Diceros bicornis minor: one gene and its partners. The protein of the gene in region 3 purifies or fractionates together with the protein of the main gene of each other region. This does not show direct contact. Links are inferred from orthologs where the notes say so. Each region holds a gene or a part of one and is shown on either strand. Other genes may lie near its edges.

Evidence for each region.
Region 1: the proteins of FAM53C (region 3) and DYRK1A purify together in Homo sapiens (affinity purification with mass spectrometry; 8 studies listed by BioGRID and IntAct, counting the BioPlex papers as one, with this or other methods). This does not show direct contact. The link is inferred for Diceros bicornis minor from reciprocal best matches to the Homo sapiens genes FAM53C and DYRK1A.
Region 2: the proteins of FAM53C (region 3) and DYRK1B purify together in Homo sapiens (affinity purification with mass spectrometry; 3 studies listed by BioGRID and IntAct, counting the BioPlex papers as one, with this or other methods). This does not show direct contact. The link is inferred for Diceros bicornis minor from reciprocal best matches to the Homo sapiens genes FAM53C and DYRK1B.

What each region holds. Positions count from the first base shown.
Region 1 is NC_080766.1:37,535,718-37,543,664, forward strand, and holds the start of DYRK1A (dual specificity tyrosine-phosphorylation-regulated kinase 1A), read left to right. Parts: upstream 1-4,494; 5' UTR 4,495-4,570; intron 4,571-7,947. UniProt on the Homo sapiens protein: Dual-specificity kinase which possesses both serine/threonine and tyrosine kinase activities. Exhibits a substrate preference for proline at position P+1 and arginine at position P-3.
Region 2 is NC_080773.1:13,603,306-13,610,826, reverse strand, and holds the start of DYRK1B (dual specificity tyrosine-phosphorylation-regulated kinase 1B), read left to right. Parts: upstream 1-4,363; 5' UTR 4,364-4,522; coding exon 4,523-4,601; intron 4,602-5,878; coding exon 5,879-6,042; intron 6,043-7,059; coding exon 7,060-7,179; intron 7,180-7,276; coding exon 7,277-7,465; intron 7,466-7,521. Other genes in the region: FBL (rRNA 2'-O-methyltransferase fibrillarin), read left to right, coding at 898-1,030, 2,067-2,179, 3,025-3,170, 3,298-3,322.
Region 3 is NC_080740.1:56,906,925-56,915,257, reverse strand, and holds the start of FAM53C (protein FAM53C), read right to left. Parts: upstream 3,452-8,333; 5' UTR 3,394-3,451; intron 3,009-3,393; exon of another isoform or gene 480-3,008; 5' UTR 328-479; coding exon 250-327; intron 1-249.

The DNA of each region.
Region 1 (7,947 bases), on a different chromosome or scaffold from region 3:
TTTTAGTTGATTAACACAAAAATGTGTTCATAACACAATTGTAAGTAAAAAAGGCATAAAACATACCTATATGTGTTGTGTGTGTGTGTGCGTGTGCTCATGTCTAAGAAGGTCTAGAAGAATATATGTGAATATGAAGATATTAATAAGGTTTATCTCTGGGTGATACCTATGAATAATCTTTACTTCTTTATTGCTTTCCACATTGTAAAACTGTTTGTAATGACCATAAATTACTTTTATTTTGTTTTTGGATCTCAGGTGCAGAGAACTGAGTATTAACTTCTTGATTCATAGCATGCTACCATTGCCAGTTTTAACAAGGCCCCTCTCTTGTTTTAATTTATTGTTTCTTTTGAATTTGATAAACATGAATTACTATTAAAACCAGAACAAACAATAAAGCTTATACAAGGGGAGCAATCAAGGACCTTTACTCTGAAGTCTGTAAGAAGAGTGAGGGTGTCAGATTCTAGCCACGTCACTGTCCAGGGATGAATTGTAAATTGTTCACCTTCTCACCTGATGTGAAGGGCAGAGATATTGGTTGGTGGAATGTTTGGTTAGTTCTTGGAATGTTTGGGTTATAACTCCCAGCCAGGTTCCAACTAGTGAACTTTTGGGCTTAGTATAGCACACCACGAAGAGTGGCCATGAACAGATGTGGAACCAATGAAAAGAACCTGGCTTGGCTTGGAATCTTGGCTTGGATCTGTGTGTTAGTCTGCCAGGGCTGCCATAACAAAGTACCACAAACCAGGTGGCTTCAACAACAGAAATGTATTGTCTCCCAGTTCTGGAGGCCAGAGGTCCAAAATCAAGGTGTCGGTGAGGTTGATTCCCTCTGACGGCTGTGAGGGAGAATCTGCTCCAAACCTCTCTCCCAGCTTCTGGCAGCCTCAGCTGTTCCTTGGCTTGTAGATGGCGTTCTCTCTGTGTCTTCACAGTCTTCCGTGCGTGAATGTCTGTCTCTGTGTCCAAATTTCTCCTTTTTAAAAGGAAATGCCAATTATATTGGATTAGGGCTCACTCTAATGTCCTCATCTTGATTATCCCTGTAAAGACTCTATTTCCAAATAATCCCAGATCATCTTGGTGTGGCGGAAAGAATATGGGCTTTGCAATTACACTCGGGTTTGAATCTTGGCTTCACCACTTACTAGTGGTGTGACCTTGGGAAAGTAATTACTCAGGACTTGTTTTCTCATCTGTATAATGGGTATATACTGTTGCTAGAATGTACTGGATAAGCGGAGGCTGTTATTATCTGTGAGTTGGGCAGGTCTTTGCTCTTAGAGGTTAACTTCTATCAATAGATACATCTGTAACACATCTGTCAGTGATCTGATAGGGAGATTCTCAGATGACAGCAAGGATTTAATCACTGAATCCTGTCAACACTAAACTGGCATCTGTACCAGAGTCCTTCCTGCCTACATGTGTTTACTTGTTTGGAGCAGCGTAATTTACAGGTTACTTTTTAGGTGAAGCCTAGATAAAACTATTTTACAGCATTCCAACCTGGACATGACAGTTCATTGATCAATGTTGTGTAAGGCTGTCACACTGGGGGTGGGGGGTTGGAGTTGGGAGGGAAGGGGGCAACCTTCTAGATATGATCAATGTCTTCTATTATTTCATGATTACAAGCTGGAGATTCTGCCTCACCCTGATAATCTTCTAGACTGATTTGACTGAAGACAAGGGTACATTTCTTGAGACATTGTCATATTCTTTGCAGGTTACCTAGAAGATTAATTATGCCAGTTTCCTTATCACCACCAAAAATTTGACTCAAATTTATTTTAGTCTTAAAGGTTGCAAATCCTTAATTGATCTGATAGAAGTGAAAGTGTGGTGAATGGGGTGGGGGCGGGGAGCAGGGAGGAGGGAAGCGGGAGGGAGGAACGAGTTGGTTGCATAGGTGGAAGCGAGCTTGGGAGGAATCAAGGTAGAGATCTCTCACCTCAGTAGGGACACCCTTGGCCACCTCCTTCGAAACAATCAAGTTGAATGTAGACTTTACCTTAGCAGGGCAATTTTGAAGCAGAAATCCAAAAGAACTTCTGACAGGGCAACTTTTGATACCACGTAGAATCAGTCAGAATTAAGCTATTTGCCAGTCTACTTTTTGCATAATTTACTTTAGATTTACTCTGATTTCTTTCAAGACCTGTGCTAGTCTGAATGGTTGCCTTGGTATGTCAATGTTCTAATAACTGTAGGAGGGAAACATTGGTTGGAAATCATTTAAAGCCGTGTCTTTCCTTGAGTAACATACGATAGAGACCTGTATTTGTTATGGTGGTGTTTTTCTCTACACCTAAGATTGTATCTGTTGCTACTGTATTTGTGAACAGCTCAAGCTAAAGAAAAAATTGATATGAACACTATCATAAGATGGCAAAATCAAGGTTAGAAATCAATCAGTGACTTGCTGTAAAATGATATCTCTATATATCCTTTTTAGCGTAACATTTATTAAAGTCCATTTTATTAGCATAGGTACAAAACACAATTTTTCCAGTGGCTGTCCGCTCATTACAAAGTAGCCAGCACTGCATGGCTACTAGCATCCCTAGGTTTTAATGCCTGGGGAACACACCTAGCAATATTCAGCCAGGCAGAAGGGGTAGACTGAATACAAATAAACGAAAGCCAGAATGGGCGAATTAAGAATCTGGAAGCTGAGATGGTGCATGAAAAAGAAAAACAGAAAAACAGGGAGTTGGACAAGGATACAGTAACCGCTCAAGAGGATTAATTTCAGGGGCATTCCGATGGAGAAGGCAGGCTGCGCCCAGAAAGGTGGGGAAGGGTTTGAAATAGCTGGGAGAGCCTGGGAGAGCGTGCACAGCCTAAAAAGTTTTCATGATGGCTCCGTCCATGATTTCTGAACGCTGGCATTGGTTGCTACGAAAACCGAGCGGCATGATTTAGCCAAGGTGTCAGCCGCAGGGGCATCCCGGATTCGGGCGAAGCGTCCGGAATTCCTGAGATGTCTGAAACGCGGAGGCGGCCGCTTCCCCACCCCCAGCCGCGGCCTCCGTGGGCATTTTCCGGCGAGGGGGGCACGCGAGCCCTTCGAAGAACAGTTCAGACGCGCGGACGTGCGCAGCCAGGCCGCCTGACCCCGGCCAGCGCGCTCCCCAGGGAGCAAGGTGAGCGCCCCCGGCCCGGGCGCGCGGGGTGGGCCGCCCGGGGCCCCCTCCCCCCGGCGCGGGCGGGGCTGCGGGCGCACAACGCGGAAGCGCGGGGCTCCGGGGGCGACGGCGCGGAGGCCGCGCGCGCTCCCCGGGCCGCAGTCGGCGCGCGCGCGGGCGCGGCGGGCGCGGGGCGGGGCGCGGCCGGGCGGCCGCGGGCGCTCGCGCACAGGCCGGGCAGGCGCCTCGCCCCCCTTCCCCTTCGCCTTCCTTCCCTCGGCCCGGCCGGCCCCCTCCTCTCCCCTCCCCCGAGCGAATCACGCGCCCTCCTCTGACACTCGTAGCGGGCCCGAGCTCCGAATTTATCCTTCACGTGACCTGAGGGGGTTGGGTGGTTGGTCGGGGACGCAGAGGGAGAGGGAAAGGAGGGAACGGAATCTGCCGTTGCCCGAGCAACAGGCCCCGCCCGCCGGCTTGGGGCCGGGGGGGCGGGAGGAGGACGTCAGCACGTCAGCCGGGGTTTTGCGTTTTGATTGACAGTTGCTATAGCGACCGGGTCGGTCCGTCGCCATTTTGTTGGTTGGTTTTTTTTTAAACCCTTTCGCTTCCCGCCCGAATAATAATAAAAAGCCCCATTGGAGTGAGGCGGGGGTGGCGGCGGCAAGAGCGGCGGGGGGATCCGGGGAGACTGCTGCCGTCGCTGCTGCTGATCGCAGCCCAGGTCGGGCTTAGGGAGCGGACACCCCGAGCGGGGGGTGCGGGCGCCGCCGCCGCCGCCGCCGCCGCTTCTGCTGCTGCTGTTCCTGCTGCTGCTGTTGGTGCCGCTGCCGCCGCCGGCGAGCGGGCGGGACCGGTGTGAGTGTGCGAGTGTGTGTGTGAGTGAGCGTGTGCGCGGGCGAGTGTGCGTGTGTGTGTGTGTGTGTGTGAGTGTCTGTCTGTCTGTGCGGGGACTCGGGGGCGGGCGGTTCGGGCTCTCCTGGCGGAGGAGCCGCCGCCGCCGCCGCCGCCGCTCGGGCCCCGGCGCTTCTCGCTGCGCAGGTTTGGAGCGCGCGCCATTTTGTGAGATTTACAAAATCCTCCTCGGGAAGAAGCCGCCGGGAGCGGCCGCCACTCGGCGCCCGGCCTCGTCGCCGCCGCCCTCCGCGCCGGGCCGGGCCGCGCGGCCCCGCCGCCGGGAGTCGGGGTCCGGGGACTGCGGTATTTGCCGGGGAGGGGGCTGTCGCCTCCCCGGCCCCGGGCGCCGCTGGAACCGCGAGCCGGAGAGAGACTGAGGAGGCTGCGGCGCGGCCGCCGAGCCGGGAGCGCCGGGGGCGGAGAGAGGCGGCCGGGGCGGCGCTGGCTGCGGAGGCCGCGGCGGAGCGCAGCGGCGGGAGCCCGAGGCTGAGACTCACCGGAGGGAGCGGCGCGAGCGCCCCGCCATCGTCCCGGTGAGTGTCCGGCCCGGCCGCGGCCCCGCCCGGCCCGGCGCTCGGCTCCCCCCGCGGCCTGCAGCCGGGCCCGCGCCGAGGCTGGCCGGGCGGAGGGAGGGACCTGCCATTTTAGGAGGAGGCGCCGCGGCCCGGGGCCGGCCGCCGGGGAGGGAGCCCGCCGGGCCCGGTCCCGGAGGAGAGGCGGGTGCAAGCGGAGGGAAAGTTCGGAGGGTGGGAGCGGGGGCCTGGGGGCCGGAGAGAGCGCCAGACCTTCACTGGTCGCCCGAGCCGAGGGGAGGAGGTTGTCTTCCTCCTCCTCCTCCTCTTCCTCCTCATCCTCTTCCCCCAGCTCCTCCCTCGTCCCTCCTCTCGGTCCCCACCAGTGTGGGAACCGCCGGGGTTCTCCGCAAGGACAATGCACGGGCTAAGAAAATGGGGCCGGCCGCTGGGCCAGGCGCCGGGGAAGGTCGCGAGCCCGGTCCCCCCGCGGCCCTTGGGCTGTGTGCTGGGGCGAGGGCCCTCGGCGTGCTCCGAAGTTGTGCCGCGAGTGCGAGGCAGCCCGGCCGCTCGGGAGGGAGGCATGACCTCTTTAGCAGCCGGAGGAGTTGGTGGCTGGGAATGCGTAAATTATAATGGATACCTGGATATTGCCACGAAACTTGACGAGTCTCTTTACAGGCACAAGCCCACTCTCGCTTAGAGAGAGGCCCCTCCCTAGGCTGCAATAGTTAAAAATGGCACGGTTAGTGAGTGAGTGACTCCAAGTACTTGTCTCTGCCTTTCGTCCGGCCCTAGATGATAGGAAATTTGTAATCTAGGTGCGGCACTTAAATGCCAGCACCATTTGGTTCTTGAATTCCGCCCAAGTTGTCAGAAAATACACCTTATAGCATTGTTTTCACACCGATTTGGAGATGAGGACGAAGAATGCCAGGCACTCGTTCTCAGGGCTTCAAGTGTATTAACTCGCTCATACTACCGGTAGGAATTGTTACCCATTGTACAGATGGGAAAACTGAGCTGTGACTCATCCAAGGTCATACAGCTGGGACTCCAGGAGCCAGGAGTCTGCAGTCAGCCTGGCCTCTTAATCACTAGGTTATAACTCATTATAAATACTGGCGGATTTTGGAGTGATCTGTGCGTAATGACTCAGGGTTGTAACCTAGAGATTGTGTCCATGTATAGTGGTTAGCGTGGGATTAACTTTGTGGTTTTTGGAAGTGGAAAGGAAAGATTGAGATGAGGCCCTCTTAATGAAACTTGTCAGCCCCCCCACCCCCCAACTAGGGAGACAGTTTTTGAATGGAAGGAATTAAAAAATATTCTTTGGTGCGTTTTGTTCTTCACACTTAATTTTAATTATAGGCGTCATTTAAGTATTGATGAGTCATAAGAAAGTTTTGCGTAAAGTTATTATTAGTCATTTTTGTCTTTGAATACTTAGATTTCTTCTTTACATACTTTACATATGCAAAGTGCTTAAGAATGGGTATATTTAATAGTTTCCATTTCGTGACATTTTAATAATTCAGTGGAATTACCTTTAGCTTTTTTGTTATATTTCTCATATCTTGGTGGTTTAGTTACTTTGAGAGAATATTATGTTCAGATAGACTATAAACATGAGACTAGAACTAAAATTTCATGTGCTAAGATTTTAAACCGAAGAAGATAGTTTCAAAGAAGCAGCAGTTAAGACAAAAGTTTACTTGATTATAGTTAAGATGTTTAATATACGTATGACTTAGACTTCAGGTACCCCCAGTGTTTTTGGAGGATTTGCCTTGAAATAGTGGTGTTTATGGTGGCTGTCCAGATTCGTCTAAACTTCAAATTTTGCCAAAGTTAAGGACTCCTGTCAATGTCTACACAAAGTTGTATTGTAAAACTGACTATAAACAGTTGATAAGAGACGTAGGCTCAGAAGTTAATTATTCTAGAAGGTAGGGTCACCCCCGTGTCTGTAAGGTGAAGGCACACTCCTTTAAAATCTAAAAAAGATTTTAGATTTGAACAAACAGGCTTGAATGAATGAATGATCATTATTGGTAGGGGTGGGAGAGACTACGTGATCTAGTGAGATCTTTGTTATTGTTAGGAATTCGGAATTGGGGTATAAGATCATTTCTTAAACATATTTTAAAGATATTTTGGTGGGACCTATTAGAAACTTAACAAACATACAGAATTACTGTGTGCTGAGGATTCAAAAATGAACGAGTTAGTCCAGTCTTTTAGGGTCACTAACATTCGAATTAAATGAAAATATCCCATTTTAATACAATGTCTGGTTTGGGAATGTGGATAGTGAAAAAGACCCTTGGTTAGAATTTTTTTCTCCTCTAGGATATTATCTGACGTCTGCCCCTTAGTTTTATTTATGGAGAGTTACTGTGTTTGTGACTTAAAGATATGGGGGTGTGGAGTGGTAAGTGCACCAAATGGTATTTAGGGAGTTTACATAGGTTTTTATAGTGCTATGAATATTTATCTGCAAAAGCAAAATTCAGGATAACTTGTTATAACACATAATATAGAATGACCTTTGGCGTGTATTTTATTTTGAAACTACAAAAAAAGAAAATGCTAATTTGTATTGAATCTTGGCTACTACTTGAAAACAAGTTTTTTTTTTTTAAATAAAAAATAGCGTAGAAATTTAGACTGCCCAGGGATGTTTTCACATGCATGTTTATGGTTGGCGAGAATTTAGTTATGGGAAGAAAATTTGGATAGAAGTAACTTAATTATGAGTGAGAAGAGAATTGCCTTATACGTGACATTAAAAATAAGATTAATAGGAGAGATGGCTTCATTTGTGACTTTCTTGGTATTTATGATTAGGTGTGTGTCAGTTTTTCTTTGCTTTAGCATTAGGTTTTGTTTTATTTTAAAGAACTTTCACATTTCTTAGATCCACACTCACACCCCCAAGCAATTTCTCTTTTATTCCTCAAGGAAAAACCTTAACCGTCTGAAGCCAGCAAACCCCAAAAACTTCCAGAAAGTTTTAATAACGAACTTGGCTCTTCTCTCCCAAAATTTTATTAGTCTTATAGTTGTGTTGTATTCCTTATCAGTAATTTAAACTGTGAGCTAAGGCTCTCTACTTGCTGTTGAATGTTTGGTGGTTTTACCTCCAGATACTCATGTATATTTTCTATTTAGAAGTAAAGATAGTACTTGCAACTATCAAACATGGTCACTTGAAACTTGATACTAACACAGTTTGCCCTTTCAAAGTGAATTGCGTGACTTATAACTTATGTATACACGTGTATACATAGTGGTTATCCCTTTTAAGACATTTCTTACCATATGTTATTTTGACTGTTGGGCAATGTTTTGATGGCTAGAGAAATTGTGGTAACTCATAATCCAAGGCTTGCACA
Region 2 (7,521 bases), on a different chromosome or scaffold from region 3:
GTATGGGCTGGTGGTGCCGTAGGAGGCAGGGAAAGGCCCAGGCTGCTTCCTGCACTCTGTGGCTTGGAGCCAGGCCCTTCCCTCTCAGAGGGCCTGTGAGTAAAAGGAGCAGCTTGAACCACATGGTCTCCACAGCCTCATTCAGCATCACTCCTGAGTTCTTGGCCCGGAGGGAAGGGCTTTGGGCATCCAGGTGACTATGTTAGAGGGGCCCAGAGCTGAGAGTACAGATACCAGACTCTTTGTTTTGGTTGCCCTCTTTAAAAATGTATGCCCCTAAAATCTGGTCTCCTGGTTTCTCCTGAAAGAACAGGAGGTCTCAGTTTCTGGACCTGCATTTCTGTGTGGCTATACCGGTTCCCTATTTAGAGGGCCCCCGTGGGTCTCAACTTCATGACCCCCAGCTCATCTACATACCTATAGGCTGTGTAATTTAGTGGTGAAAAACCCCAGGCTCTGGGGCAGGCATTTAATAGTGAAGTGGTTCTCAGCAAGTTACTTAACCTCTTTGGGCCTCAGTTTACCCCTCTGGAAAATAGGGTTATTGTGAAGCTAAAGGAGTTAACTCCCGTAAAGTGCTTAAAGCAGTGCCTGGCCCACTGCAGATATTCTTAGCTGTTAGATTTCATCTCTGTGCCCTAGCTTCCTGGTATTAAGCCTGTATTGGGGCCTGGGCTCTCCGATCAGGCAAAGTGGAATTGAATAACCCTTGGCCAGTGACTTCACATCTCTGGACCTTGGTGTATTCATCTGAAAAATGGACATAACAATAGTTGTTAAATGGTAGGACTTTGATTTGGAGATTTGGAGAGATGCTGCGTGCAGTGAATGGGCCCAAAGTAGGTGCTCGATACATGAGAACTGGTATCATTGATGTTATTATTTGATGTATTTTAGGACGGTCTGGTCTATGCAGTTGAGTTCTCCCACCGCTCCGGCCGTGACCTCATTAACTTGGCCAAGAAGAGGACCAACATTATTCCTGTCATTGAAGACGCTCGGCACCCGCACAAATACCGCATGCTCATCGGTGAGGGGTCCAGGGGTTGGCCCAGGTAGGGTAGGACAGGCCACTCCAGGTTTCCTGGAAGAGGCCGCCAGAGCCCTGAATCAGATGGAGCTGAGTGGATGAGCAGGCCTCTTGCATCTGCAGCGGTGCAAAGGGTAGGGGAGCCAGCTGAGTTTGTGGAGGTGGTGGTCCCAGTTCAGGGTCTCAGATGTCTGACGGCTAGCCTCCTTCCCTCCAATCTCCTGCCCCTCTCCCTAGCCCCCCGTACTTCCTGGTACTGGTGCTTTTTACACTGGCTTATGTAGAAAAGCCTTCTTCAGAGGTCCTCCTCATCACCTGGAGAGAGCATAACCCAGGAAGCACAAACTGAGGCCCGGAGGGGCCCACTGTGAATATTAATGACTTTGTTTTTTAAGAAATTCAAAAGCATAATGTAAAAATGGAAGGCCTTATAAACTACCCCCAAAGGTAACTGATAACAATTTGATGTCTGCTTTTCCCAGTTTTAAAAAAGTCAGTTTTCATTACATCATCTTTTCCTTTTTTTAAGTTATTATTTTTTTAAATCACACTGCCTTAAAAATGTTATGTTGTATTCTGCTGGTTTTTCTTTCTGTGCATTTTTTTTCCATGCACTCATACCATATCCTTTGTCCTACTACTTGTTTTCATTTGACAAACCTGCAGACACTCTTGCCTGTAAGTGCTCACCTTTACTTGCCTTTTTGATGACATGTCTGTCTCCCCCCCCAGACCCGGGAGCGTCTCGAGGGCAGGGTCCGGGTCTGACTCGTCTCTGTGTCCCCCACGCCCGGCCCGGGGCTGGCCACAGAGTAGGTGGCAACCATGATTTACAAGAGGAATGAATGAATGGTGTGACTGTGGGTTTTGGACCCATCTTGGAGGCACCGCGGAGGGAGGGGGATCAGTGGGGGTAAGTGAGACTGGAGGCAGGAGACTTTGCCAGAAACCTGCTGGTGATGGGGCGCAGGCCCCACGAGAGGAGCTGGGAAGATCCAGTGGATCTGGCTCTTAACTGCCGCTTCTTTCTCCCTAGCAATGGTGGATGTGATCTTTGCCGACGTGGCCCAGCCAGACCAGACCCGGATTGTAGCCCTGAATGCCCACACCTTCCTGCGTAATGGAGGACACTTTGTGATTTCCATTAAGGTGCGGGGGCTTGGAGGGGTCTAAGATGGGGTGCTAGTATCTTTCTCGCTCTCTAACTGGCAAGCAGCCAGTCACTACAAGGGGGTCTCCACCCCTCTTAATCCAGTCAGTCTGTTCCCAGCCTCTATCCCTACCCAGCTCCCTACAAGCCACCTCTGCCCCAAGTCAAATAGCACATGATGAAGAACATCTTCAAAACTAAAAATCTTTGGATTTAAAAATGCAATAGAATGTAGTGGTCACGTGAATGATCGCTGGGTCTGACCATCTGAGTTTGAATTCCAGCTTGAATTAAGTGACTTTGAGTAAGATACTTAACCTGTGTGCCTGTTTCTTCACTGGTAAAATAGAAATATTAGTCCTATCTCTTTTAGTGTTGATGTAAGGATTCAATTTATCAATATATATGAAGTGTTTAGAACAGACCCTGGTATAAAATAAATTCTAGGTCCATGCTAGGTGCATTTTAAAAAAGGTTTTATTTTGAAATACAGAGAAGTCGCCTGTGTATCCTTCAACCAGATTCTCACCATTTGTTGGCCTTTTGTGACATTTGTTTTTGTATTCTCAGCTGCATTGTTACTATTGTTAAAGAAGAGGAAGTAGACGAAAAAACTCCTCGGTGTAAAATTTAAACACTGGCTTGTAGATCCATAGGGCTCTGTTGAAGGCTTCCTATTTCCAAGTCCAAACCAAATTGAAAACTTCTCTAAGGAAGTCTTTCCCTACATTTCCAAAACCTGAGTTTCACTGAGTTGCCAATAAAAAGAAATACATCTGGTTTAAAAAGCACAGAACAGGGAAAACAGCCTTGCCACAGACTTCAGACCCTCTCTCCTCTGCAGGCCAACTGCATCGACTCCACCGCCTCGGCCGAGGCCGTGTTTGCCTCTGAGGTGAAGAAGATGCAGCAGGAGAACATGAAGCCCCAGGAGCAGCTGACCCTGGAGCCGTACGAGAGAGACCACGCCGTGGTCGTGGGTGTGTACAGGTGAGCAGGGGCCCGGGATCCACCAGGACAGACATCTCTGTCCCCGCTGGGGGAGCCGCACAGGTAGTGCTGGAGTGCCCCAAAGTGGTGACAGGCTCTGAATATCCTCGTCTCCTTCCTCTCGCAGGCCACCCCCCAAGGTGAAGAACTGAAGCCCAGCGCCATCGGGATTGCGAGATTGTGTTGCTACTGTTAATACGTGTGTTTTCTATTAAAAGACTCATCCGTCGCTCCTGTCTGCTGCTGATGGCTTGACGGCCTCTCAAGACAAGGCGCATGCGCCCTTGGTCAACTTGCGGAGTGGTGGGGTGGAGTGCGCCTCCGGTCACACAGCGCATGCTCCTTTCCTAGCGGCTTCCTGCGCAGCCGTAACCCGGCTGTCGGCGCTTGGGCGGGGTTGGTAGCTCACTGCGCATGTACAGCGGTAAGCGCCGCTGAGCGCAGGCGCGGTGTGTTGCCCTGGGTCACGTGAGAAGGACAGATGGGGGGGCTGGGGGCGGAGCCCGAGGCTGGGGGGGCCGGTTTGTTGTGGTCGCCATTTTGCTGGTTGCATTACTGGGTAATCGGGGCCCTGGCTCGCCGCGTCCGCCGGATACCTTCAGCCCGTGGGCAGGTCTGGGCTCGGGCTTCCCGAGCAGTTTGAGTCCCCTTGCCCGCGCCCTCAGGTAACGACGCGGCTGCGGGCGGGGCGGCACGCGCTCGCGGTGAGGGGGGGCAGTACGGGACCCGCCCTGCCCGCGTCGCTGCGAGACTCAGCACGAGGCCGAGGGAGGAGAGGAGGGGGGTGGCGGGCAGGTGCAGGCCGTGCCCGGCTATTCATAGTCGGATTCCTGGAAGGGGCCGAGCCCGAGGCAGCAGTCTTAGCAAGGAGGCCGGGAGGGGGTAGCGGGGCCCCGCTCCCGCCCTTTGTTTGGGCTCGGCACCGCCGGCCGCTTCGTCGTCGCCTAGCAACAGCTGCCCTGGGCTGTGATTGGCTGAGCTCTTGGCAGCAGCGACCAATGGCACGGTTGTTGCCATGGCAGGTGCGGACTGCCAAACTCAGCCCGGCCCCGCCCGCTGGGGCTCCGTGGGCCGGGGCGGGCCTCTAGGGTGGGGGGCGGGACGCCGGGGTCCCCAGGGGCGGGGCCGGCGGGGCGAGGGTTAACCCGCCCCTCCCCCGTCCACCTGCTTTCTCCTTCCCCCGCGTGCCCCGGGCTGACCCTCGTCCCCTCCTCTCCCCGCCCCCGGCGGCGGCGGCGGCTGCTGTTGTCACCCACCGGGCCGCCTGTCCCGCTTGCCCTCCCCGCCGCGGGGCTTGCCGGGCCGGCCGGGCCGGGACAGGCGGCCGTCTCCTCACCGCCGCCACCGCCGCCATGCTGGCCGCTCGCCCACCCCACTGGGGGCCCCACCGCGCCCCAGCCCCCCGTGGGCCCCGCGCCAGCCCTGACCCGGGTAGGGGGTGGGGGCTGGGAGAGATGGTCCTGGTGTGGGAGGGCCCCGGAGAAGAGGTTGTTTTGGTGGGGGAGCTCCGAGAGAGAGGAGGGGTCGTGGAGTGGCAAGGCTTGGCATAGGAGGAGGATTGACATGGGAGAAGTGGCAGATACTCTGGGAGGGGAGACCTCTATGTGATATTTGGGGAATTTGGCTATGGGGGCCTTCTAGGAATGGGCACAGTTGTGGATTGACCCTGGCGAAGAGAGGAGGGACTGGAGAAAGGGCCCTGGTAGGAATGTTGGGGGAGGGGGAGGGGAGTAGGGTCCAGTGTAGGGTTGAGAAGGCCGAGTACTCTAAACCCAGCGTGGGAAGAGACGCCTCCCCTTTGCTCCCATCTGGAGGAGTAGGTTTTGATTGGGAGGGGGACCTTGGAGTAATGTGGGGAAGAGCCCTGTTTGGGGAACTGGAATATGGTATGGGGAAACTACTTGAAGGGGTGGTCCCTGATGTGGGAGGAAATGATATAGGGAAGAGGTCTTGGCATGATATGGGGAGGGTCCCCTGGGAATGGTGTGCCCTGGTGGATGAGAGTGCCATAGGGGTGGGACTCCAATGTATAAGGGTTCTCAGATAACCTTGGTGTGGTCAGGAGATCCCTAAGGACCCTGCTGTGATTTTAGGAGCCTGCAGAGGACTCTGCTGTGGTTTGGAGGGGGCCCAGAGGACTCTCATGTGGTTTGGGGAGGATCCTAGAGTTCTCTGGATTGGGGTACCTACAGGGAAGGGTAGATCTTGGAGTGGGGGGACCTTGCTGTGACAGGAAATGAGATCCTGAGGTTCAGGGAGGACTGCAGGAGGGCAGCATCTTGTGTGAGGGGCCCTGGGAAGGGCTAGGAGTAGAAATGGGAAGAAAAGAGTGAGCCCTACTCCCTATACTGTCTGTGGTTTCTATCTTTTTCCTCTCTTCCTTCCCCTAATTGTTGGTATCTTTCTGTCCTTTCCTGTCATGACCCATATCCCTGCGTGGCTCCCAATCATTCCCTTCACATGTCCCCCTCTTTATGCCACTTACTTCATTTATCCGGTAATCATTTGTTGAGGGACTCCGCTGTGCCCCTCCCCCCCCGCCACTTCTCTCTGTCCCCTCTCTTCATTGCCACCTGTTGCTCTCTTGCACCCTTTTTCTCCTCCCTCTGTGCCCTGTCTTCTCTCTGATGTCCACCTCTTTCCCGCCTGGCACTGTCCCACACATCCCCTTGTTCTCTGTTGTTCCCCTGCCTCCCGCCTGCTCTCAGGTCTCAGCGGCGGTGGCAGCCGAGGTGCAGGATGCGAGAAGGCGCCCCCCGGCCGGGCTCCCGCTCCAGGCCTCACTCCCTTGCGGCCCTCTGAGCCCACCATGGCCATCCCACCGGGCCATGGTCCCTTCTCTGGCTTCCCGGGGCCCCAGGAGCACACGCAGGTACGCGGTCAGCTGGCTCCTCACCTGCCTGGGGTAGGGGGAGGATGGGAATAGAAGGGGGCCAAAAGATAATGTGGTTGCCCAGGACAGTCTCCTGGGGACATGACGGGCCCTAGGAGAGTGGGAGGTAATAGAGGAGTTGCTGGCAGAGTCAGGGTTTGGAGAGCCTGGGTTCAAATCCTCACATGGTGGTTAAACGACTTCGGTTCTCCATGCTTCAGTTTACTGTAAAATGGGACCAGTAACGATACCTCCCTCACAGGATTGTTGTGAGGATGAAATGAGCTAATGAAATGCCTGTCAAGTGCCAAGAACAGTGCCCGGCACTTAGTAGACACTCAATAAATGTTCACCAAGCAAAAAAAGTCCAGAGTGAAAGATCTGGAGAGCGTGAAAGTGGAGGAAGACTAGGCCTGCGGGGTCTTGGAGTCAGCAGAGCTTGAGGGTACAGGGTCAAGACCTTCAAGGGCAGAGACTGTTAAGGTTCTGATGTGTAGAGCCTGAAGTGGGATGGAGTGGGAGGTCCAGGGGGCTGGATGCAGATCCAAGACCCTTGGGGTGAAAAAACTGGCAAAGATGCACAGAGGAGGTGAGGGTGAGGGTTGGGAAGGCCCACAAGATGGGGGCCTCTCAAGATGGGATACCCAGAGTGGCCAGTCTCAGGCCAAAGGACTGGGAGGGGCAGAGCCCAGGTTTCCTATCTGATCTCTCCCACTGAGGTTCAGAAAGGAGTGAGGTGTGGGATGAAAGGTCAGGGGTGAAGAGTCCACCCTTCAGTCACTCAGCGAGTCTCTCATGGACACCCCCTGCGTGCCAGGCCCCGCGCCAGGCTCTAGAGCTGCGGCAAGAACAAGACGACGTCCCTGCCCCTGGGGAGTTGACATTCTGTGGGGTTGTGAGACAGTGACCAAGTAAACATGTGCGTGCTAATGATGAGCCAGCCACCCATGTAGTTCTCCCCCTTGAGGTGGGAGGCAAAGGCCTGTCCTCAGTGTCCACCCCCACCCCGCCCCCCAGGTATTGCCTGATGTGCGGCTGCTGCCGCGGAGGCTGCCCCTGGCCTTCCGGGACGCGACCTCGGCCCCGCTGCGCAAGCTCTCCGTGGACCTCATCAAGACCTACAAGCACATCAATGAGGTGGGCCGGGGGTGGGGGGCCCGGGCTGGGTGCTGCGGGGTCCTGGCTGCTGGCACGGTCACTCACCAGTCCTTATCTCGGCCCCCCTGCTGGGCAGGTATACTATGCGAAGAAGAAGCGGCGGGCCCAGCAGGCACCACCTCAGGACTCGAGCACCAAGAAGGAGAAGAAGGTCCTGAACCACGGTTATGACGACGACAACCATGACTACATCGTGCGCAGTGGCGAGCGCTGGCTGGAGCGCTATGAGATTGACTCCCTCATTGGCAAAGGCTCCTTCGGCCAGGTGCGGGAGGCCCCACCCCACCCTGATCCAGGGACTAGGGGGCACGGGCACCCACT
Region 3 (8,333 bases):
AGTGAGTAAAATAATCCACATCTTCCAATATCTCAAACCCTTCTCCACCCAAGATTTGGTGTCCCTTCTCTATCAGTGGGAAAATCCCTGCCCCCTTCCTTTTGGGCTGGATTTTGAGCCTTTAGTGGGCTCTTCCAATACAAGTACCATGACTCATACAGCACAGGACAAGGGTGAAGCATTAGCAACATACAGCCTCAGAAAACAAGGGGGGGGGTTTGTGGAGAAGCAGAAAGACTGGTCTTTTACCAGACTGATGCTGAAGCGTGTGCATTTCAGCTCATCCAGAGTCTGCTTCTGTAGCTGCTCAGTGATCAGGGTTATCATGATTCTCCCCAGGATTTGACTTGCACACTTTGGAGCAAATGATGGATGTCTTCCCTGTCGTTCTTCCAGACCTCACTCGTGAGCCGTCTTCTGCCACTGCAGCACCATTCTAGCACCATTGGGACTTCCCTCTCCAGTCATGCCTGCTGAGTCTGCCAATTACAGAGGGACCAGCCCCAAGTGATATTAGAGATGTACCTGGTCCAGAGATGGAAAATGCATGGCATACATACCACAGCATCCCTATGCCAGGCCTCCGGCAGACATCATTAATTGATCACAGCTCTCTCCTGCTAAGCCTAAACATAGCTTCAGAAACATTCTGAACTTGGCACTCCAGATAACCACTAAAATGAACTGGAGTTGGCAAGCAAGTTGAAACCTATTTGCTGCTCCTAACCTGGTTCATGCTCTGCTCTGTCTACCCAGAATACCAGCACTTCAAAAACAGCTCAAATGAGAGAGAGGGATGCCCAAATGGTTACTTCTATCCTGATTAGCCCAATATTGTCTTTATCTTCCAGGCACAAGCAAACAGAGGTACCTTTTTCCTAAACTACAGAAATAGTAATAGGGAACAGGGAGGAGCAGTGGTTGTAGGAATGACTTTCAGCTTCAGACCAATCAGAGTAAACAAGGTTTTATGTTCTCTGTTAGCCTGAACAGTTGATATATTATTGTTTTCAAGAGATACTGTATATATTCTCTTAAAAATGGTGAGAGGATAAGGAAATGGTACCAGGGTAATTCCAGTTACATTTCAACTCCATAGATGTTAAAAACAACTCTATGACTTCACTCAACTAAGTTTTTAGCCTGATCTGACTCAAAGACCATGGATACAATTAATCAAGACTCTTTCTCACAGTCAATTACAGTAGAAGCAAACTACTTCTATCAGAGAACAGGCTTCAAGCCCACACAATTGCTTGAGGGGCCATGCTCAAGGGAGGAGGAGAGGTTAACCTAGTGTTTCGATATAGTATTGCCAATTCCCAGAAATTGGCAATGATCAGCAAGCAGACAGCTCACCAGAGAGTGTATGTAGCATTTGCTAGTAGAGAGAACAATCTATCAAGAAACCTAAATCTTGATCGGATTTGCTGTGACAGTTTTGTCAAATCATTTAACCTTTCTTGACCTGTTTACCCATATGTAGAATGGGCAGAATAATCTGTCACAGGGACAATAAAACATAAAATATCAAAATGTAAAAAGCATACCATCTGATCTGTACAAATCAGGAGTCCACACAAACTGCCATTTCTCAACCCTCCTGTTTGTTGCTCTACAAAGCCTCAGAATGCCACAAGTGATGCTATCATTAAGATGAAGAAGGCAGTCCAAGTTTATCTATTTGGCTAGATGCCCACCTCCCTGATCTGCATACCAAGAGAGACCCAAAAAGGCTCTTCTGTGACCTTGGGGGCAGATCACTTTCTACTTTTGCAAAAAGGAGGGATCATCTCTGCCCCATTCCCACCTCATGGGGAGGCAGGCCATAAGGAAGAGCAAAGAAATACACGTGGAGGTACTTGGAGTTTTTTTGAAAAAAGGTGTGAGAAAAGTCAATCATCATTACAGTTAACTACCATTGTCACGCATAATTATTATTACCACCCTGAACCAAGTTCCAGCTTCCTGAGAGCTCCCTTCAACTGCTTCCCCTATGTCCCTGTGGGAGAAGCTAAACCTTATATCACTTCTGCTCTTGGTTTCTTAACTCTGCCCTCAAAGAGCAACCAGAGAGGGAACCTAACTGCAGGCTTTTACCCCGGAGACCCTAGGCCTCAGGCTGACCAGCCATGAGCAGGGAGTGAAGCAAATTCTTTCAAGCTGTTCATGAGGCATTTGGCCAAACAGCAAACTCCCAGCTCTCTCTGGGATCAAGTGAAGAGAGTGATTTTGTATTTTTCTGCATTTTAATTGTTGGGATGTGGCCACACACGGTGGTAACTGGAACAATACAACTACCACCACACAACTCATACTCTCAGCCTGAGTTTCCTAAAACAGGCCAGGCTGAGAGGGGGAACAGAACGGAAGCCATAAGGAATCAAACCAGGACACAAAAGAAGGCAAACCAGCTCCGCGAGGGGCCTCCTCTTTCTCAGGCAAGCATAGAAAAAAGTGTAAGAAGCCCTCTCTTGCCGCCTTCCTTCCCCTTCCATTTTGTATATCTGAGGGGCAGAAACGGCCCTGAACATTCACTAAAAAGTTAAAACTTCTCAGCTCAACAACTGGCACCGGGCTCAGCCCTTCATAGAGCAGCAGGCCGCTAGGCCCTCCCCAAAACCCCACCAGGCCCAACTTTCAATCCAGGTTTTCTCTCCACCATTAGCCCCCTAAAATAAATATTGGGCTCCCACCCCATATCCTATTGGATGGCAGTAACTCCTGACATTCGGGTTTTAGGGATGCTGAGGCTGTGCTGAAAGCTGGAGAACCTAGGATCAAGTCAGGCCAAGGGGGAGGAGAGTCACAAATCCCCTGGGGACATTCCCCGCAGGTCCCAGCCCCACACCTCTGGGGGAGACTTAAGGAAAACATGAGGGAGGCAGGGAGGTGCAGGAACAGGTAAGTGGGGACCTGACTGCTCTTCCTCCATATGGCTCTGGCCGGGATAGGGGTGACAAGTGGGGAGCACTCCCTCCCCCCATCTCGATGAAGAAGCAAAAGGCTAGGCCCCCCTCCAATCTTCAACCTCACCCTCGGCTGCCCTGCCTGTCCCCGCGGGGTGGGGCATGGGGCGTCCGCTGGCCCCTGGGGCGGGGGGGGGGGGGCGGGCTAGGGCTCGCTCAATGAGGCTGTCGCTCGCCTCTTCCCAATCAGCTTTCATCATCTGGCCGCGGGAAGCGAACTCAGGACGCCGGCGATGAAGAGGGTCCGGGACTTAGCACTCCGCCACCCCCTCCCCCACCGGGTCCCGTGCTCTCCCCGCGGAGGCGGCCTGCGAGGCCGTGCCGCGCGGGCGGCCGGGCTGGGGGAGGGGAAAGGGGGAAGGAGGGAGGGACGGTTGAGGTGCCCGCCCCGAGGCCCCAGCGCCACCTGCCCTCCGCCACCTACCGCGGCTCCTCCAGCTCCCAGGGCCGCGGCCAGAGCAGCTCTGAGCGCTCCGTTCGCCCCACGGTGCCCTTAAAAGGCGCTGGCGCGAACCAACGGGCCCCTCAGGAGAGTGAGGCAGTCTCTCCGGTACACAGAATCCCCCCGAACCGCCCGCGGAGGCTCGAGCCCCGCGTCGTTTCTGTCTCAAAGTCTTTCTTGGATAGCGCTGTGGGGAACAAGCCCAGCTCTTTGATTTAGGGACGAGGGTGGTTTCCTCACTATCGAGTCACCCCCTCCAAAATATTGCAGAAGGTGGACGGGCCCAGTTGGAGACATGTCTCGAAACCCGCGGGGGGAGCCGTGTCGGACGAAGGTAAACAAAGCCATCGCCCCCGCCCTCCATTCCTACGTGGGCCAAAGTACAGCCCCCTGCTCGGTTCGGGTAGCATGATAGAATTAGCCAAGGTTCCTCTCACTGCTCTCCTGTCCCACCCTGTACGGCCGCCTCTCTAAAGGAATCCCCCTACCCCTAGCAGAGGACCTGTCCGCGGCGTGAAGGCTTCTGGGAAGTGTAGTCCAAGCGCCCATTAAGGCCTGCTCAGAGTCCCAGGAGCCCGTCTTCTAGCTGCCGGATCGGCTGGAACCTTATAAACGCAGGATTCATAACGGTTGCGGGGCCTTTCCCACTGGGTTCTGTAATTAGCCTTCACCCAAAACACTTTGTAAAGCTGAGGAGGGCCCAGGGCTGTTCACTCCTCCTCCCTCTACGCACCCCAACCCCCCTGCCCAGCAGGATGAGGTAATGGGATTGTGATTATGACATCATAGGCGGTTCAGTTGCTTGCGTGGGGGGGCGGGGCGGGAGGAATACGGTGGTTACAGCTGGACCTCTTTCGTTAAGACAGAAAGGGAGGGATGAAACAGGCAGATGGGGAAAAGATGTTGATGGCCCTATATTTCCTCTTCAGGAAGAAGAAACCACCTTTTATTAAATCTCCACTACTACCATCACCTCCCACCTCAGCCAGAGTTTAAGTCCTTTTTGAAGAGACTGAAGAAGTTAGTAGGTGAACAGGTTGGGGAACAGCTAGATGGTTTCTGGCTCTTATGTAAACTTGAGTCTCAGCTATCAAAGAAGGTTTAGAAAGACGGGCAAAAAGATGGAAAAAGGAGAGGTTTTAAACAATGCCTTCGTGTTGTGATCTCTTTGTAGGGCAGAGTTTTAGATTTCTTTTTTAATCGTTTGGAAAGTAGCAGTAATGCAAGTAATCTTCACTATTACACTTAGCAACAAGTCCCCTGAAAGACATCTGTTTTCCCTAAATATTTTGTTCCCCTTTCAAGTCTGGTACAGATAAGTAACTGATCAGCTAGAAAGTAGAGCCAGTGGTGGGAATCTTCCTCACAGAGCCAGGAGCCACCAAGTCTGCAAACTGAAAAAGAAGAGTAGAGGGAAAGTGAGGTAGTTATGAAGAAAATGGGGATGGAGGGAAGATGCACTGCACATTTCTTTGCCCTGCACATTGCCCTTTAGCAAAAGAAGGAGGGGGGGGGGGGCATGAAGTACAGGAGACATGGCTTCCAATAACTGCTGTTGTGGAGCATTTATGTGCCAGGCACCGTGCTACATACTTTAAATATATATGCTCATTTTTGCTTAGAATCATCAAATGAGACAAAATCTCCTTATTTGACAGATGAAATAGCTGGAGAGGTTAAGTGACTGCCCATGTGGTGGACAAAGGTAGTATTAAAAAGCAGTCTGAGGCTCTGAAAGACAAACACCGTATGATCTCACTCATATGTGGAATATAAACCAACACATGGACAGAGAAAACTGTATTGTGGTTACCAGGGGCAATGGGAGTAGGGGGTGGGCACAAGGGGTGAAGGGAGACATGTATATGGTGATCAACAAACAAAAATATACAACCAAAATTTCACAGGTATAAACTATTAAGACATCAATAAAATAAATTAAAAAAAAAACAGCAGTCAGGCTCTAAAGCTGTTGGTCTTCACTGCAAGGTGATCCCCCTTTTTATTATTAACCATGCCTACTAAAGTTAAATGATTGAGTATAAGAAGTTAGCATTGGCTTATTTGCAAAACATTGAAAGAAACTGAGACACTTAACCAAACCTGCAAGTCAGGTTTCAGGCCTCATTTCAAAGGAAGATTACACCCCTTTCACCAAGTATAAAATAGCCCCCAGTGCAGCCCAACCTCCTCCCCATTACTAACTATAATTAAATCTCCTTATGCCACTTTTAGTTCTCAAGGCTTTTCTTACTCATGTCCTAGCTATTTGTTCCTGCTGCCCCATTTTCCTTCTTTTGTTCTTGGGCTACTACCTTCCCCCCCCCCCCCCCGCAAAGCCCCAGTAGATAGTTGTATGTCATAGCTGCACATCCTTCTAGTTGCTGTATGTGGGACGCAGCCTCAGCATGGCCAGAGAAGTGGTGTGTCAGTGCACGCCCGGGATCCGAACCCGGGCCGCCAGCAGCGGAGCGCACGCACTTAACCGCTAAGCCGTGGGGCCGGCCCTTGGGCTACTACCTTGAACCACATCTTAATTGTGTCCTCATGGGCCAGACCCCGCTCTGATGCTGCTCCAATGGGTTTCAGCAGAGGACACTACCTGGGCTCCCTTCTGGTCTCCATCAAGATTCTCTGAGGGTTCCAGAGTCTGAAGCCAGTCATCCAGGAGGTCATCCAAAGGAGTGAAATCCATTTAAGAGACTCTCCATTCCCTGCCTAGGAAGGCAGCAGAGTCAGAGGAACACACACCTCCTTCAGACTCCCTTTTCAACCAGTGAAAGCTAAACGTCTGCAAAGTGGGGAGAGGTAGGGCTCAGTCCACCACTCACAGAAGGAACCAGGAATAATGCACACACCCCTCAGCCTCCCTCCCTGCAGAGGCTGGCTAGGGGGGTCCCAGGAATGTAGGGCTCTTCTCCACTGCCTGATCTGGGCATCCCAAGAGCAACAGCTGTACCTCCTGTTCTTGTTTGGCATTTGAGGGTGAAGTCCTGGCTGTCACTGTGCTCTGGCAATGACAAATATGTGTTAGACTGAGGTCAAGGTGAAGGGGCACAACACACTGCTTCATCACAATGAATCAGGAGACTCGTTAGGGAATTCCTTGAGAATGAGGTAGGATCAATGCCATCAATCCAACAGAAAAACCAAATCTTCAGATCATATTAAACACCAAACTTCCTAATTCCCTAATATTCTTTCTTCTGGGAAGGATAAATTAGATATTCCAACTCCCTCAGAAGTCAAGATAGATATATAAGACAGTATTTGATATCCCTTTAAAATGCATTCTACCTTTTCATATATTTAGTTTGAAGGTATGCATGTAAACTTACATGTAATTAGGCAAATATGTTGCAGTTAGCCAAGTCAGCTGGCGGCGTGAGATAAAAATGGTTAGAAGGAAAAAACTTCATTAGCAAACATGGATAAAGCTTTAAAAAGTCTTAAGGGCCAAGTATATGGCTTCTTCTATTTGAAAAAATCTTGGAAACTTATTTTGGGGGCTAAATTGCAGGAGAATTAGTTTTATTATTTTTTTGTGAGGAAGATCAGCCCTAAGCTAGCATCCATGCTAATCCTCCTCTTTTTGCTAAGGAAGACCAGCTCTGAGCTAACATCTATTGCCAATCCTCCTCCTTTTTTTCCCCATAGCCCCAGTAGATAGTTGTATGTCATAGTTGCACATCCTTCTAGTTGCTGTATGTGGCACGTGGCCTCAGCATGGCCGGAGAAGCGGTGCGTCGGTGCGCGCCCGGGACCCGAACCTGGGCTGCCAGTAGTGGAGCGTGTACACTTAACCGCTAAGCCACACGGCCGGCCCAGCAGGATAATTCGTATTAGTAATGCTGCAACTTTGTGAGAGCACTCAGATTCTAGTATCTTTCCATCACCTGACATTGAACCAAAGCTGCTTGGTTGATGCTCTTGTTGTGACCACTCACAACTGCACTCACTTGAGGACCTGCTGCAGAAAGCACTGGTAACCAGGTGTCCACTTGCCATAATCTATCTGCTTTTGCCGCCGTTGTAGGACGATTTCATCTGTCTCTACCTCCCACCTGCAAGGAAGTATACAGTGACCCCATGGAGTGTGATTATAATCATCAAAACAGAAGCCAACTCATCCCACACTCCCTTAATCCCCAGCCTGATTTTCGAACTCACCTGGCATGGCAGGGATCTGTGCTGATTCCCACATTCACCATCTCTATCCCAGAGGACAAAGATTCTTCACACCCCTTCTTTCTCAGGAAGCAAATTCCACAGATGAAAAGGGTAAAACCCAGCTGACTACACTGCACCTCTCAGCCACTACCACCACCAAGATCCTGACACCAAATAAAGGTTGTATTTCTGATTTTCTGTTTCTCAAAGATAAAGGTTGCACTTCTAATTTGTTTCTTAAAATTTGATCTGCAAGCCATCTGCATGAGTAGCCCCTGGGGGCCTTGATAATTCCTAGGCCCCACTCTAGACCCGTTGAATCATAATTTTGAGGGTCTGCATTTTAAAGAGCTTCCAAGGTTATTTTAAACATTTTTTATTACAGAAAATTTCAAATATACAGAGAAGTAAAGAGAATAGTATAATGCCTTGCTACTCAAAGTATGGTCCCAGGACCAGCTGCATCAGCAGCAGCTGGGAGCTTGTTAGAAGCGTAAAATCTTGGGCAGCAACCCAGACCTACTGAATCAGAACCTGCATTTTAACAAGATCCCCAAGGGATTAGTATGGACATTAAACTTTGAGAGCACTGATATAATGGACCCCTCAGTTACCCATCACTCAATATTCATGGCCAATTTTGTTTCATCTATCCCCACCACCACTTCCATGGGATCATTTAAAAGCAAATCTCCGGGGCTGGCTTGGTTGCGCAGCGGTTAAGTGCGTGCGCTCTTCTTCGGTGGCCCAAA